2 linked regions of the Tamandua tetradactyla genome follow. The protein of the gene in region 1 binds, or shares a complex with, the protein of each later gene. Links are inferred from orthologs where the notes say so. Each region holds a gene or a part of one and is shown on either strand. Other genes may lie near its edges.

Region 1 (8,095 bases):
CCACCCGGCAAATGGCAGAGCTGGGAGCATAGCCTGGTGCTTGGCCCGTTCAGATAACTACCCGGTGACATGTGGCCCAGTGCCACGGTGGGCCGCGACGGCCTGGTAACGGTTATGGAACAAACGAATCAGTCAGCAGTCAGGATAACCAAGGTCATGAAGAAAACTCCAGATTATGCAATAACAGCCTCCCAGTCTTTCAAGCCAGAAAGATCAAGGACCCCTGCTACACCCCCAGTTCTTCACCCAGGCTTGGGGTGGTGCTAAGGGAGCCCAACATTTAATGCTTCCTGAGAGAGAAGAGGGTCCAAGAAAGCACCAAGACACGAAGATGCTAAGGAGTGCACCCAAGCCAAAGGGTCACACGGCAGCACACCTGGCAGGTAAACCCAGGTTGGTCTGACCCCAAAATCCTCACAGCCCTGGTTAGAGCCCACCCAGCCAGCCCTCCACCTCTGGCTCCAGTGTGTGCACCCTGCTGGGTGCCCGGGCAGTGAGCCAGTGCGGCTGAAATTAAATCAGTTCCCCAAATGATGGGGGACCTCAGAAGGAAGCACTCACGAATGCTGAGTAGGCTGGGTCATCCCTTGGATTTGGGAATGGGAGGGTTAGGGCCTATGGGTCCTGCTTGAAAAATTCAGAGAGGACCCACTCAGCATCTAACTGAAGTCTGCTGGGGCCTTACAGTGGGCCAGGCAATGTGCTTGACACACACACACACACACACACACACACACACACACACACACATGCACACACACATACCACCTCTGCAGACCCTCAGGGAGCATCAGACCCTTGGGGAGTATCAGACCATCAGGGAGCATCTGCACCTGCAGGAACCAGCCTGCAGGAACCTGCAGATTCTAGAAGGCCTGCTGCAAGGCTGGCCAGAGGCCTGGGGCAACTCAGCTGGGGACCCTAGCACAAAGGTATTTCCGTGGCCTCAAGCTTCAAATTGCAACAGGAAGCAATCAGGAAAAATAATTAACTACTGATCTACTGGCTTCACCCCAGATGGAGCCATATAGCTAATGTGGAAAATCAGGGACATGACATATCAAGGACAGACAAGAAAGTTCTACATAAGGATTTCACCTCTTTCTTCTTTTTTTTTCCCCCTTTCACTTTAGGACGGGACCATCACATTCTGGGACTCTAAATGCCTCTTACGAACATGCTTCCTAGTACTAAAATAACCCACCCTCTTTGTGCAGCAGACACAACTAAACACCACAGGTGGAGCTCCTTTTCTTTAGGGGTTCGAGTCATACGGAGCAACAGGCATTCGTGTCCAGTAAGGTCACCCCGAAAGGAACAGGAAATCCAAAACTGCAATGAAGTGAAGAGCACCCGAGGCAGCTTTAAAAAAAAAAAAAAACCCTTTAAAACAAACGTCTTCCCCCCAAACCCCTTTTGCCTTCACAATCCAGGCATTTCCGGGAAAAAAGGCTCAGCTTCGGCCTGCATTATCCAGATTCTGTCATTGTTTTGTCTTCACCTTGTTTTGCAAGGAGTAGAAGACATGGCTGAAAAATGTAAACTGGCTCCGTTCCAGAGAGAGATAAACTTGGGGTGAAAGCGCTGATAAGCCAGGAGAACCTGCAGCGGGGATCCCTGAGCTTTCTCCCTTACTACTGGGTGCTTTTCAAACCTCAACGGAGGGGCTGCAGCGTCAGGAATCCAACCCACAAAGCCAGCCAGGAAACCTCCCTGCAAATGTCCACTCTGGAAATATTCAGGAGACAGCTGTTTGCTTTAAGGAAGCCCAGACAAAAGGGACCTGGGCCCCATCCCCCCCCCACCCCGAAACTGCCACCAAAAGAGGGGCCCTGGATGCTCGCAGTGCTGGCTGGCCCATGCCCAGTCTGGCAAGCCTCAATCAAGAAAACCAAAACACGTACCTCTGAAGAGAAGGACAGAGGTAGCAGGGGACCTGCTAGGAGCACCACATGGCAATCTCCAAACTCAAAAAACATGTGCGGCACCTCACAGGGTGCCTTGGTTCCCTGAGTCCTCCTCACCTCAACTCCACCCCTCCGGCCGCACCAAAAAGTTGGAGAGAAAGTTCGACAGCCCTCGACTGCCCAAAGGCTGTGGAAACTGAGTCACAGGCACACTTCCTCCCCCCCCAACACGCCCCAACAAAGCCATGCGCTGGGACCACGACACCGGTCACGACGGGTCCCCCGCTGCGGCCCAGGCCCCTGTCTGCAGCCCCAGCGGCCGGATGGGTGGCTCGGGTGGCCGGGACACCTGGCAGGTGTCAGTCTTTGGGGAACGACAGCCAGGCAGATACAAAGGGGACAGAGCAACAGGACAGGACGCGCCGCGCCCGGTCTCCCAACTTTCTCGCGGCTCCCGGAGCTCGCAGGGCGGCCGCGCGGCCAGGGGAGGCAGGCTCGCAGGGAGAGTCCCGACCCAGGGCGGCCAGGCCTGTCCCTGGGCCGAAAGGCTCCGCTCTGCCCTGCGGGCCCCGGCTCCGCCACCGGCCAAGGGCGGCCGCGGCCACTGCCCGGCCCCGTCCCCGGGAGCCCTGCCGAGCGCGCCCCGGGGCCCGCGCCCCGCGTCGGGGCAGGTGAGGACCCGCCCGCGCGCACCTGGCGGGGTCGGCGCCGCCCGCGCGCCCGGCTCGTGGGCCCCGGGTCGGCCCCGGGAAGGGCCCGGGCGGGGAGACAAAGGGCCCGCGCGCGGCCCCCGGGCGGCGGGGAGCGGCGGGGAGCGACGGGGAGCCCCCGCGCCGCGCGCCCCAACTCGTCCCCAACTTGCAAAGTCGCTTCCGCGGCGGCGCCGCGCACTTGGCCGCGAGGCCGCCCGGAACCCCCGGGGGGGGGTGGCACGGACCCGGGTCCCGCGCCGCCCGCCCCCGCCCCCGCCGGCGCCCACCTACCCGCGGCGGGAGCCAGGCTGCAGCAGAGCGCGAGCAGCAGCAGCAGCAGCCGGGGCGCCGCCGCCTCCATGTTGTCCGGCGGCCGGACGGGCCCGCGCCGCGCTCACTCGGGCTCCATGGCGCGGCGGCGGCGGCGGCGGCGGCTCCTCGCGCGGCTCCCGGCGCCTCCCGCCTCCCCCCCTCGGGCGCCGCCGACCAGGACGAGGAGGAGGGGGGAGAGGAGGGGGGAGGGCGCGCGGGAGCGGAAGCCGCGCCGCGTCTCCGCCCCCCGCCGCCCGCCCCCCCCCTCCGCGCGCCCCCCGCGCCGGCCGCGCCCTCCCGCGGGCGCCCCCCGGAGCCGGCAGGCTGGCGGCGAGACGGGCGCTGCGGCCCCCGCCCTGTGGCCCCGATTCTCGTGGTGGGGGGGAGGGGAGGTGTAGCGGGGAGGGGGGAGCGGAGGCCCTAACTGCCAAATGCAGCCCCTGCCCGGGGCTGGGGTCCCGTGCTGGTTTTCACTCCACGGGGGCGGGCAGGCTGATCAAGTTCTGGAAACAGGTGTGCCACCTGTGGAGCTACAAGGACTCCCCCGCCTTTTACAGATGGGGAAACTGAGGCACGGGGGCTGGGAGATTGCCCAAGGGCACACAGCAAGGCAGTGACAGGACTGGATGCCAGGGAGCCGCAGCCGCCCCCTGCAGGGGCCCATCGCAGCCCAGGCCTCCCTTGACACCTGTTCTCACTTCTGAGGGCGCCTGGGAGGGCAGAGAATGGCGACCAGGAGTTGTGAGGGCAGGGACAGATGTGCAGTATAGAGAAGCATGAGCTGTAAGGGTGGGACTGAGGGTGGGCTTGAGGTTTTAGTTTTACGCTAATTTTGTGCTCGCTGCATTCATTCTGGCATACGAACTGACAATAAAGCTGCTCTCCAGGGGATACTACGCTGGCCAAGCCTGCAAGTCCTGATATCTCAGACCTCAGGAGTTCCCTCACCTCTGACTCACCCAAAAGCGGTCACTGAGGTCCCACAGTGCACCCCATGGAATTAAGCTGCGCCCGGGAGGAGGAGCTGGGAAGGGAGAACCTTGCTGGGGAGAGAGGGGAAGGGGGACAGAGAGGCTCTGGAACCCATTGGTCCCAGTTCAAACTCCGGGTCTGCTGTTGAGCTCCTGGGCAAGTGCAAACTCTCCAGGCCTCTTTCCCCTTCATAAAATGGTGATAACACCCCCTTGCACAGCCCGGAGGAGGTTAGGGATAATACAGTATCATGGCCTCATGTGTTTGTGACAACTTTGTAAGGTTAGTGGTCAGGCAGAATACCTTGGCCCTCCTTGGGTTTATATCCTAGTGAGAGAGCTAAGCAAACCAAACAAATAAATAAAAATTTTAAAAAACCACCATTACAGACCAATGTGAAAGTGGGGAGTGTTGGACATGTCTGGGGGGAATACTGAGGGAAGTGGGGAAGGTTCTATTCTCCAAGGAGGCTATATTTGAGCCAACTGTAGGAGCAGCTGCTCTGCAGGGAGAGTAGTTCAGGCAGAGAAAAGGAAACAAGGGCCTGGGAGCAGGGGCCAGCTTGGCTGCTGGATTTTTGGGTGGAACTGCAAAAGGCCAGCATGATAGAGGCTAGAGGTGGGTGTGGGAGGAGGGCAGACAGAAGGAGGTGTGAGATGGAAGGAGATTTGGGGTGACAGGAGGCAAATGGGATAGTAGGAGAGGCCAACTACAGCCAACACATATCAGACTGGGAAAAGGAGTCAAGAACTTATCTGAAGAGTGATGGGAAACCATTATGGGGATTTAAGGAGCAAAAATCCTTGCTGATTCCTCTACTCTCTCTTACTCGATGCCCAGGCCTAGCAGCACACCCTGTCTACTCGTCTCCCACCTCTGTGGCCACCAGCCTGGGCCCTCACCTCTCATCCTCTGCCAGGTCTCCTGTATCTGGCCTTAACTCCCTTCTGCCTAATCTCACAGCAGCCAGAGTGAACCTATTAAAACATTAAATCAGATCACATCTTCCTCTGCTGAAGATCCTGCTGTGCTTTTCATCCTAGGCCAGTGTTTTTAAACCTTCAATCGTTAATGTATTACTATCATGATTTGGGTAGTTATTTCTTTTTAAAAATCAGTTCACTTTTAAACACATCAGTGCCTACTTCAGCATGATTTTAAGCAAGAACCCCCTTGGGGGTGTACCTCTACCTGGCATCATGGGACATGACTCCCAGGATTAAGCCTGGCCCTGGTATCGTGGGACTGACAAAACTGCCATGACCAAAAGGGGGAAAAGAGATGGGACAAATAAAATCTTCAGTGACTAAGAGATTTCAAAGGACATTGAGAGGTCAGTCTGGAGGTTATTCTTATGCATTATATAGAAATTCCTTTTTAGTTTCTGGTGTGTTAGAATGACTAAAAGGAAATAACAAACTGTTGAACTGTAATCCAGTAGCCTTGATTCTTGATGATGATTGTATAACTATATAACATTTGTAGTGTGACCATATGATTGTAAAAAACCTTGTGACTAACGTTCTCTTTATCCAGTGTATGGGCAAGAGAGTAACAAAATAAACACAAAAAATAAACAAGTAATAGGGAATGTCCTAGTTTGCTTGCTGCTGGAATGCAATATACCAGAAATGAAATGCTTTCTAAAAGGGAAATTTAATAAGTTGCTAGTTTATAGTTCTAAGGCTGTGAAATTGTCCAAGTTAAAACAAGTCTATAGAAATGTCCAATCTAAGGCATCCTGGGAAAGATAACCTTGGTTCCAGAAGGCTGGTGAAGTTCAGGGTTTCTCTCTCTCTCAGCTGGAAGGACAAGTGGCAAACATGGTGGCGTCTGCTAGCTTTCCCTCCAGGCCTCTTGCTTCATGAAGCTCCCCGGGAGGTGTTTTCCTTCTTCATCTCCAAAGGTCACTGGCTGGTGGACTCTGGGGTTCTCTCGTCCCGTCGTGGTTCTACAGCTCTCTCCTTGTTCTCAAAGGGAACGCTCTCCAAAATGTCTCCTCTTTTATAGGATTCCAGTAAACTAATCAAGACCCATGTAGAACTGTCAGTGGTGCAAGACCCTTTGCACCACTGACGGTCTGACACACTAAACATTTTCTTATCAGGATCTCCTGTGCCTGGACCAGGAGCCAGCACATGGCCAATGCTCGATACGTGTGTGTTGAATAAATGAATGAAGTTCATTCTAGTGCTAATCAAGTTTACTACACACAATTGATTGAGTCACGTCTCCATGGAGATAACCTAATCAAGTTTCCAACCTATAGTTTTGAATCATGATTAGAAGAAACCGTTGCTCCCACAAGATGGATTGGAACTAAAACATGGCTTTTCTAGGGTACATAAATCCTTTCAAACTGGCACAGGGAGGATTGGGAATGTGGGATGTTTTGGGTGTTCTTAATTTATTTTTATTTTTAACTTTTGGAGTAGTGCGAATGTCCCAACATTGATTGTGGTGATGTATGCACAACTAAATGATGATACTGTGAGCCACTGACTGTATACTTTGGATGATTATATGGTATGTGAATATATCTCAATAAAACGGCATTTGAAAAAGAAGGGGAAAAGAAAAGATCCTGCTATGTCTCTCATCTCAGTCAAGATAGACGCTAAGGTCGCAGGGCACTTACAGAGCCTGATCTGGCAGCACCCACCCTTCTACCTCTCCAGCCTCGTTACTGAGCACCCCTTCCTTCCCTCACCCTGTCCCAGCCACAGTGGCCCACTCGCCGGCCCTCAGACACTGGCCCTTCACGGCCACCACAGGACCTTGGCTTGCTGTCCTTGCTGCCTGGAACTCTTATCCCAGATATCCACGTGACTCACTCTTCCCTGACCCCTGCTCCAATTTTCAGCTTTCCTTTCCTCCTTTGCACCACTGACAGTCTGACACACTAAATGTTTGCTTATCGGGATTTCCTGTGCCTGGACCAGGACCCAGCACATGGCCAATGCTCAATACATGTGTGTTGAATAAATGAATGAAGTGAAAAGATCTGATTTACATTTATGGAAGGACCACTCTGGCTGCTGGATGGGGGGCAGGACTGTGGGAGAGACAGGAAGGGGTAGCCAGGAGGTTGGTCAGCAGGCAGGTATAATGTTAGCAGCCAGGAAAGGCAGAGGCTTGGATGTGGGGTGGAGGTGGGGGTGTGAGGATGGCTCAAAGATGGTGAGGAGGAACTGGATGCCGGATGCCCTTAGGATAAGCTGAAGGTGTCAGCTGTGGGCATGAAGGAGAGGGGAGCTCAGGATGGCTCAGCTAGTTGTAGCATTTTACACTAGCTGGTCCAAAGAAGAGATCAAGGTTTTAAATCTGAAGGACTCCAAAGAAGCTGAAAAACCTAAACTCAGTTGCAGAAATGATTAAGAAAAAAATGAACTGTTCTAGTTTTTTAGCTGCCAGAATGCAATATACCAGAAATGGAATGGCTTTTTAAAAAAGGGAATTTAATAAGTTGCTAGTTTACATACAGTTCTAAGGCTGAGTAAATGTCCCAATTAAAACAAGTCTATAGAAATGTCCAATCAAAGGCATCCAGGGAAAGATACTTTGGTTCAAGAAGGCCAATGAAGTTCAGGGTTTCTCTTTCAAGTGAGAAGGCACATGGCGAACACAGGGTTTCTAGCCCTTCAGCTGGAAGGGTACATGGCGAGCATGATGTCATCTGCTAGCTTTCTCTCCTGGCTTCCTGTTTCACGAAGCTCCCTGGGAGGAGTTTTCCTTCTTCATCTCCAAAGGTCACTGGTTGGTGGACTCTCTGCTTCTCATGGCTATATCATTTTTCTCTGTTCTCTCTGAATCTCTTGGTCAGTAAAACCAATCAAGACCCACCTGGAATGGGTGGAGACACGTCTCCACCTAATCAGGTTTAAGACCCACTCTTGATTAAGTCACATCCTCATGGAGATAAGCTAATTAAAGTTTCCAACATACAGTATTGAATAGGGATTAGAATTTGTGCTGCCTTTACAAAATGGGATTAGGATTAAAACATGGCATTTCTAGGATACATGCATCCTTTTAAACCGCTCATGAGCCAAGAATGTAAACAAACAAAAAAAGGCTTTAGAATAAATGCGTTCTAAACTCGATCATGGGGTTGTATGCACAACTAAGTGACGATACTATAATTGGGTACAGTTATCCACGGCCAGTGATTTTGTACTTCAGATGGTTTGTTTGGTGTGTGAATACATCTCA
Region 2 (7,740 bases), on another chromosome or scaffold:
CAATGGCATCTGCTTGGGGTAAGACACGGAGCTGGCAGTGCCAGACCTCCACGTCAGGCCGGTGCTGACGTCGCTGTAGAGGGAACCCCCGCCCCCGCCGGGCCCCGCGCCGCCACCCCCAGCCCCGCCGGCTCCCCCCACGGTCGCGGAGCCCGAGCCCCCGCCCGCCGCGGCGCCCTTGCTGGCCCAGCAGCAGCGTGTGCACAGGGCGCGCCAGGACTCGAGCGTCTTGCCGGACCAGACCCACACGCCCGAGGTGATGCCCACCACCAGGCACATGAAGTACTTGAGCATGAAGACGGCGTAGTCGGGCCGGCGGGCCTGGTCGGGCTGCAGGTCCCGCAGGCAGGGGCAGTTGTGCGTGGCCTCCCAGCGCGGGCGGTTGTGCTGCTCGTAGAAGAGGCAGGCGACCACGACGGCGGCGGGCACGGTGTAGAGCACGGTGAAGAGGCCCAGGCGGATCATGAGCTTCTCCAGCTTGTGCGTCTTGGTGGGGCCGCCCTGCTGCTTGATGACCGAGCGGATGCGGAAGAGCGACACGAAGCCCGCCAGCAGGAACATGGTGCCGATGAAGAGGTAGATGACCAGGGGCGCCAGCACGAAGCCGCGCAGGTTGTCGAGGCTCTGGTTGCCCACGTAGCAGATGCCCGCCACAGGGTCGCCGTCCACCGAGCTGAGCGCCAGCACGGCGATGGACTTGACGCTGGGCACGAGCCACGCGGCCAGGTGGAAGTACTGCGAGTAGCCGGCGATGGCCTCGTTGCCCCACTTCATGCCGGCCGCCAGGAACCACGTGAGCGACAGGATCACCCACCAGATGGAGCTGGCCATGCCGAAGAAGTAGACCAGCAGGAAGACCACGGTGCACAGCGCCGGGCCGGTGGTCTCGTAGCGCACGTGCTGCTCCACGGCGCCCAGCTCCTCGTACTCGCTGCGCCCTCCCGGGCCGCCCGCGCCCGCGCCCGCCGCCCCGGCGCCCGCCGCCGCACTGCCCGCGGCCCCCGCCGCCCCCGGCCCGGGCGCGCCGCCGCTGCACGCCACCTTCTCGTGGCCCGCCACCAGGCGCACCAGGTAGCCGACCGACACGAAGAGGTAGCAGGCCGAGAGAAAGATGATGGGCCGCTCGGGGTACTTGAAGCGCTCCATGTCGATGAGGAAGGTGGAGACGGTGGCGAAAGTGGAGACGAAGCAGAGCACCGACCACAGGCCGATCCAGAAGACGGTGAAGGCGCGCTCGTCCTGGCTGAAGAAGGGGTTGTGGCAGGGCAGCGCGCAGTTGGCGATCTGGCCCGTCTTGACGCGGTTGTACAGCGGGTGCCGCTCGCTGGCCACGCTCACCATGGGCGCGCGGCACTGGCAGCCCGGCTCGCAGGGCGCCGCGCCGCCGCCAGAGGGCCGCGCCTTCCCGCCGCCGCGCGCTGGGGGCGCCGCCGTGTCCCCGCCGCCGCTCTTGCCGCCGCCGCGGTGCGGGGGCCTGGCCCCTGGAGGGCGGCTGTGGCCGCTGCCCGAAGGCGGCTGCTCGCCGGGCAGCGGCGGGGGCGGCGGCGGGTGGCGGCGCGGCGGGCTGGGCGCGGCCGTGGTGAGGTCGGTGCGGTTGTAGTCCATGCACAGTGTGTCCGGGTTGCCCTGCTCCGGCAGCCGGTCGCAGCGCATGCGGTCGGGCCAGGCGAAGCCGTACTGGCGCATGAGAGGCGCGCAGCCGGCCTTGGCGCGCTCGCACACCGAGCGGCAGGGCGGCAGCGGCTTCTTGTAGTCTTCCAGGCAGATGGGCGTGTACATGCTGCACAGGAAGAACTTGAGGTCGGGCGAGCACTGGATCTCCACCAGCGGCCAGAACTGGTGCACCTCCAGGCCCGCTTCGTCCTGCGTGTCGTGGTTGAACTGGTTGGGCATGTAGGTGTAGTTGTAGCCGATGCCCTTGCACAGGGGCACGGTTATCTCCTGGCACGCCAGCTCCTTGGCCGAGGCAGCCGCCGCGCCGCTCGAGCGCTGCAGCAGCGCGAAGGCGGCCAGCAGCGAGGTCACTTCCAACAGGTAACTCCACTCCATGCTGGGAGCCTCAGCCCCGTGCGCCACCGCACCCTCGGCCTTCCACGCGGCGCGCGTCCCGGGACCCCGGCCTGGAAGCGCGAGGAGGAGGCGCCGGAGAGCCCGGAGCCCAGAAAAGGGCGAGGAAGGGGCCGAGGTGTCCGCGGCCGCTGGGTTTTGTGGCCTCGTCCCTGCCTCTCCTGGGAAGGGAGCAGCCCGAAACCGGAGCCCCTTCTCCCGGAAGGCTTGGCAGGAATCAGTCCAGGCCTCCCTTCCGCTGCCCGGCGGGTCTCTCCGGGGAGCCGGTGACCTAGCGCCGCGCCGCGCTCCCCCTCCTCGGCTCGCGCAGCGGTCCGGAGGAAACGAGGGGGTGAGCTGCGGGTGAGCGCGACAGTCCCCTCGGGTCTTCCCCCTGCTGATTTGGGTCGGGCTTCAGCTCGCGTGGAGACTTGCTGGCTCCAGGCTCATCTTCCTGCGCTGGCTCTGTCCCTCTCCCTCCGCGCCGCCGCCACTTTTCCGCCACGGCTCCCGGGCTGCCGGCGACTTTGCAGAGCACGGAAGGTGGCGGGGCAGCAAGTTTCCTCTCCGGCCCCCGCGACGCGGAGTCAAGATGGCTGAGCCAGGCCAACTCCCCGCGCCCGGGGTCAGCCGCTCCAGCCCCCTCTCCTCCCCAGGGGGCACATGCCCGCTCTTCAGCCGCGTCCCGCCGGTCCTCGAGGTCCGCCGGGGCCTCCGCGTCCGCCCGGACAGCTGCCTTCTTCTCCCCGGCGTCCGTCAGTCTGTCCGCACGCCGGGACAGACGAATCCCCGCCTCCGGGTAAAAGTCCGCGCCGCACTACAGCCAGGAATCGGGCGAGTTGCAGGCAGTCCCCTTCTCGCCAGGAAAACCAAAACCCAAATCCAGACAAGAAGGCGAAGCGAAGACACCTGAACTGAGCAGTCCTGCGCCCGAGCCGCCGCCACCACAGCCGCCGCCGCCGCCACCGCCACCTCCTCGGCGGGAGCAGTGCCCTTTGCCCAACTTCCCAGTCTCCGGCCCCCGCTCGCGCCGAGCTGCCGGGCTCATGAATATTTATACAGCGCGAACTCGGTCCCCGCCCCCGGCTCCGCCAGCCAATCGTCGGGCGGTGGGGGCGGGGTCTACGAGCTCCCAAGGCTAAACCTTCCTTAAGGCCGTCTGGACTGTCTGGCCTGAAATGTGCGCTTTCTGGCGACGGAGACTTGGTTTTGATAACCTTGGGATTGACCGGAGAAGCGGACATTCAGAGCGGCCTCCCTGGGGGCCCGCGCCCCGCCCTGGCTGGCCTTGGCTCCGAGTTGTCACGATCGCCCCACACGGTGCTCGGTGTGTCTGAGCTTTTGGTCCCTTTTCCCCGATTCTGCACTTTGGAGACTAGGAGGTGATTTGATGCAGCGCGCGCCTCCCCGGGCCAGTTTCAAACTAGTCAATCCTGTCCCCCTCGGTCCTGCCCTAAGTGTGGGGTGACATGTCGGGGGCCAGGGTTCCTACCTCCTCCGAGCCAGGGTTGGCGAGAAGCCGCGCTGCGGGTGGTGCCCGGAGGCTTCGGGGCAGCGGGGTGCGCCCTGGGGACTGCGCCTTTGAGGATCTGGAAAGGGAAGCCCATTGGGGGTGTGTGTGTCAGAAATTGGTCTTTGGAGCCGGGGGCTAAGGGGGGAGTTGAGCAACCGCAGTCCGTTCTGCCTGGTGGAGCTGGACGGAGGAGGTGACCAGCACCCCAACCGCGAGGGGCGGCCCACAGCGCGGGACACAGGGTCTGCCTCCGGGGTGCGCAAAACCCTGGGGAAGGCATTAACATTTCAGAACCTCAGTCTCGTTTCCTGTAAAATGGGGGTAACCATAGGACTGCTCCCAGAGGAGATTCCGATAATCACATGATGTCGATAAAACACATAAAGCGTCCAGGTTATGTTTTGTTCTTATGAAAAATAATTCCTTTTCTTCCTAAAAAGAAAACAAAAAGAAAACGTGTAAATAGGTCGGGCTATTAAACTCTGCCACTGGGTTCTTTCCTTCGGTCTCCTACTTTGGGAACGTACATGCGCCCAATCCAAAGTTCGTCGTTTTTGCCCAAGCCTCCTTTTCTGCCGCCCCAGGCAACTCAAGGCGCTTCCGAGGCGGGGCTGCGCCGAGACGCGAACCCGCGGACACGTATCCGCGATTGTCACCGAGCCGGGAGCGCGACAGAGCAGCTTTTAGTTGCCACTAACGCCGCCTCCAATTAGCGCTGCCCCAGCCAACTCCGCCAACCACCTTAAGATGGGTTGCGGGGGGAGTGCGGGGTGCGGAGGGGCGGGCGGCCTGGCAGGTTCATTTACGCTTGTTAGGACGTCCCAGGGGGTTGTCTTTCTCCTAGAATGGAGTGTTTATTTTTAATTGATGTGCTGTTTCATTTAGCGCTTGTATGGAACTCACGCTGGGGTTGTAATTACTGTAATCTCGGGAACAAGCATTTCGGTTAGCCAGGAGGGTGGCAAAATACCTTCTCTCTCGGTCTCTCTGTTTCTCTCTCTTTCTGTTTCTAAATTTTTGCTATTTGTCAGATTTCATACCAGGAGCTAGTCGGGCTAGAGGACACGAGTTCTGGAGGGTGGAGGGACCGAGAATTATTAAAGGTGTGTTTGAGGCCAGTTCAGGTTTTGTGGAGGGGGTTTGGTGGTGCTTAGCCGTTTACCTGTTTAAAACAAACTCTTGTCACAAACAAACAAAAATAACTGGCAACATTTGTGTGCTGCTTAAACTAATGGAATCTCGGTTTCCTCCTGTTTTCTCTGGCTTGGTTTTCCCACCTAATTATGCACCTCATTTTAAGTAGACAGGCAACGCCCCCCCTCTTTTTTTTTTGGCAAGTTCTGTGTTTTTCGCCAAGAATTCTAGGCATATCCATCCACCAGACGATCAGAATATAGCTATACCTCAACATCTTCATTTTATTATTAATTGAACCTCTTATACTAAAAAACACTTCCTTCCCACTTTTGTTTTGGACAAACTCAACTCCTTAGGAATCAGAATTCAAACGCTTGTGAAATTTTAGCTGATTCAGTAGAAGAAAATGGATTCATGCAAACGCGCGACCTTTTTTTTCCCGCCCCCCCCCCGCCCCGCCCCAACTGTATTCCCATTTGTGGCATGAGGAATTTAGATAGTCACCTATCTTTTGTGTGGGTACCTTGTTCAAAGAGGCCAGTCTCGGGAACATTCGGCTACCGGGTAACAAGTTATTCCCGGAGTTAGATTTCTGAGTTGAGCTAAAGAAGTGAGGGCAAAGCATCCTTTCAAACACCAGCCTGGGGCGGGCAATGGTGGCTCAGTGGCAGCATTCTCGCCTGCCATGCTGGAGACGCGGGTTCGTGTTCCTGGAGCCTGCCCATGCCAAAAAAAAAAAAAAAAAAAAAAAAAAAAAAACCAGCCTGGACGCTGCACTGCCCAGACTACAGATGGGAGGTGCTAGTTTCCAAAAACAGCACAGATGTTGAAAAGTTTCTACTGCTTTTCTTACGCCTGGAAATGTAGAATACTGAAGTTTAGAATTACACCCTATAAACGTACTAAAATTAGATAAAAACAAATGTCGACAGTTGAAAATAGTTGACTTTGGCTGTTAATTGGCATTTAAAATTTTCTTGCTTTTTAATTTTGAGACAAGATGAAACCTTTGATGATGTGGAATGGGAAAATATTTGGTAAGTAAATTAAGCCTGCAGGAAAACATTAATGGAAAAAAGTTCTGCACTTTCAAAAATCATGCTATAAGCTATTTGGGGGATCTTACTGATTTGTGAGATTAAATCTATTTACATATAAATCATGAAAATTTACTTTTAATTCAGAAAATATAAAAATAGCATTCTAAATTTGCTATTAAATAACCACTTGGCCATCATTCAGAGCAGGACAGAGAGACTTATGAAGCCAATTAGTGTATAAAAGGCAATTATAGGCAAGTTAAAAGGAGCCTGAATAATTTATTAAGATTGGGGGCTAAATAATGATATTTTTCTTTTGTATGTAAAGCAGCTGTTTTTTAGGGGAGGGGAAATAGCTTTAATAGACATAAATAATGTAAGATGGTTCCTAGAGGGATTTCTGAACAGATGTCTTGCTACTAAGTAGCCTACAAACATAATAATATAAACAGTTGAAAGCAAGAATCTACTTTGGAGGAGGGTAATGTATTATAAAACACTGGACCAAATATGATAGGAGGCCATTAATACTGTACATCTCAAGTTGAAGAAATTCATTTTTAGTGAATTCTAGTTTAAAAACCCAATATAAAAATCTCTGTAAAAGAGAGGGCCTATCATATACCAATAAAATAATATGTTACAAAAATTAAATGGAGAGTTCTTTAGTAACTAATGAAATTCCTCAAATGTTATAAAAAATAACTAATCATTTCTCATAAAAGCTTTTTTTTCTTTCAGGGAAACACTCAAGCATTATTTTTTTATTAGAGAATGTCAAATTCTATCAGACAATATTGGGATATCATGGCTTTTTAAATGCATCTTTGGAAGGATTGAGTCTTGATTGACCACCCTATAGGTGGAAGGGAAGTTAGAGTCTTGCTTCAATATCTAGAATTAAAATGGGAATCAGAGTTCTCATTTTACATGCAGTTACCAAAATGGTAACTGCACTGGCTGTCATTATTTCACTTTCTAATTATCCTAAAATATGTTTTCAAAATCAGGAATAGATTAAAAAAAATATTCACACTGGATTATTGACCAGATGCTGAAACTCGTGTGACAAAGGATGTATTGTGCATTAGTATGGGAGCTTTCAGGTGCAAGGACACTTAATTAATCTCATATGACTAAAAAAAAATCTGCAGTAGGAAGGGCCACGAGATTCAATGAGCTCCCTGTCCGCTTTGGCTTCTGCTTCTCGGTCAGTCTCTTGTCTTTCTCCTTGGTTGCATGGCCTGAGACAGTGAATCACCACATTGCATGGGACAGCAACTAAGAGAGGAAGAGTGTGGGACCTCCCTGGAGGCTGCTATCCTCCCGCTAGATGGGAAAACTTTCCCAGAAGGCCCTGGGCTGACTTCCCCTAATGCCTGGTTGGGCTGCACCTGCCACGTGGCCAGCCTGGGCCGCAGGGGGGCTGTGAAGGCCCGTACCCTCCTACCTGGTGGGCGGCTGGTGACAGACAAAGAAGCCTTCCAGTGTGCTTTGTCCAAGGTTATAAATTAAGTATGACCTACATTAAACACACACTCACACAGCAACCCCCAAACCTCCTGATATCTACACTGTCCCCTTTGATTCACAGAACACAGTTCTTGGTACAGTTAATGTGCAATAAATGTCAAGCAGTTTAGTGCTTGTTTTATTTATAATATGTATGGATTGTTTTAGTCTGGGTTCTCTAGAGAAACAGAACCAATGGGAGATACCGGTAAATATGAGATTTATAAAAGTATCTCACACAAACTGTGGGGATGCAAGAGTCCAAAATCCATAGGGCAGGCTGCAAGGCTGGCAAGTCTGATGAAGTTTCTCGACAAACTCCACAGGAGAGTGGAGAAGTGGTTGGCTGAAGAAGAAGTGAAAATTCTGTCTTCTCCCTTGAACTGTCTTCGACTGATGGAATTAAATCCGACTGACTGGATTTCCTCCTTGCAGAAGACACACCGTTAGTTGATCGTAGCTGTAATCAGCTGGCTGAAGATTTAATAAACC

Evidence for each region.
Region 2: LRP5 (region 1) and FZD8 share a complex: the UniProt entries of both Homo sapiens proteins name them as parts of the wnt-signaling complex. The link is inferred for Tamandua tetradactyla from reciprocal best matches to the Homo sapiens genes LRP5 and FZD8.

The regions. Positions count from the first base shown.
Region 1 is NC_135335.1:6,236,184-6,244,278, forward strand, and holds the start of LRP5 (low-density lipoprotein receptor-related protein 5), read right to left. Parts: upstream 3,007-8,095; 5' UTR 2,961-3,006; coding exon 2,891-2,960; intron 1-2,890. UniProt on the Homo sapiens protein: Acts as a coreceptor with members of the frizzled family of seven-transmembrane spanning receptors to transduce signal by Wnt proteins.
Region 2 is NC_135327.1:215,597,240-215,604,979, reverse strand, and holds the start of FZD8 (frizzled-8), read right to left. Parts: upstream 3,063-7,740; 5' UTR 2,050-3,062; coding exon 1-2,049. UniProt on the Homo sapiens protein: Receptor for Wnt proteins. Component of the Wnt-Fzd-LRP5-LRP6 complex that triggers beta-catenin signaling through inducing aggregation of receptor-ligand complexes into ribosome-sized signalosomes.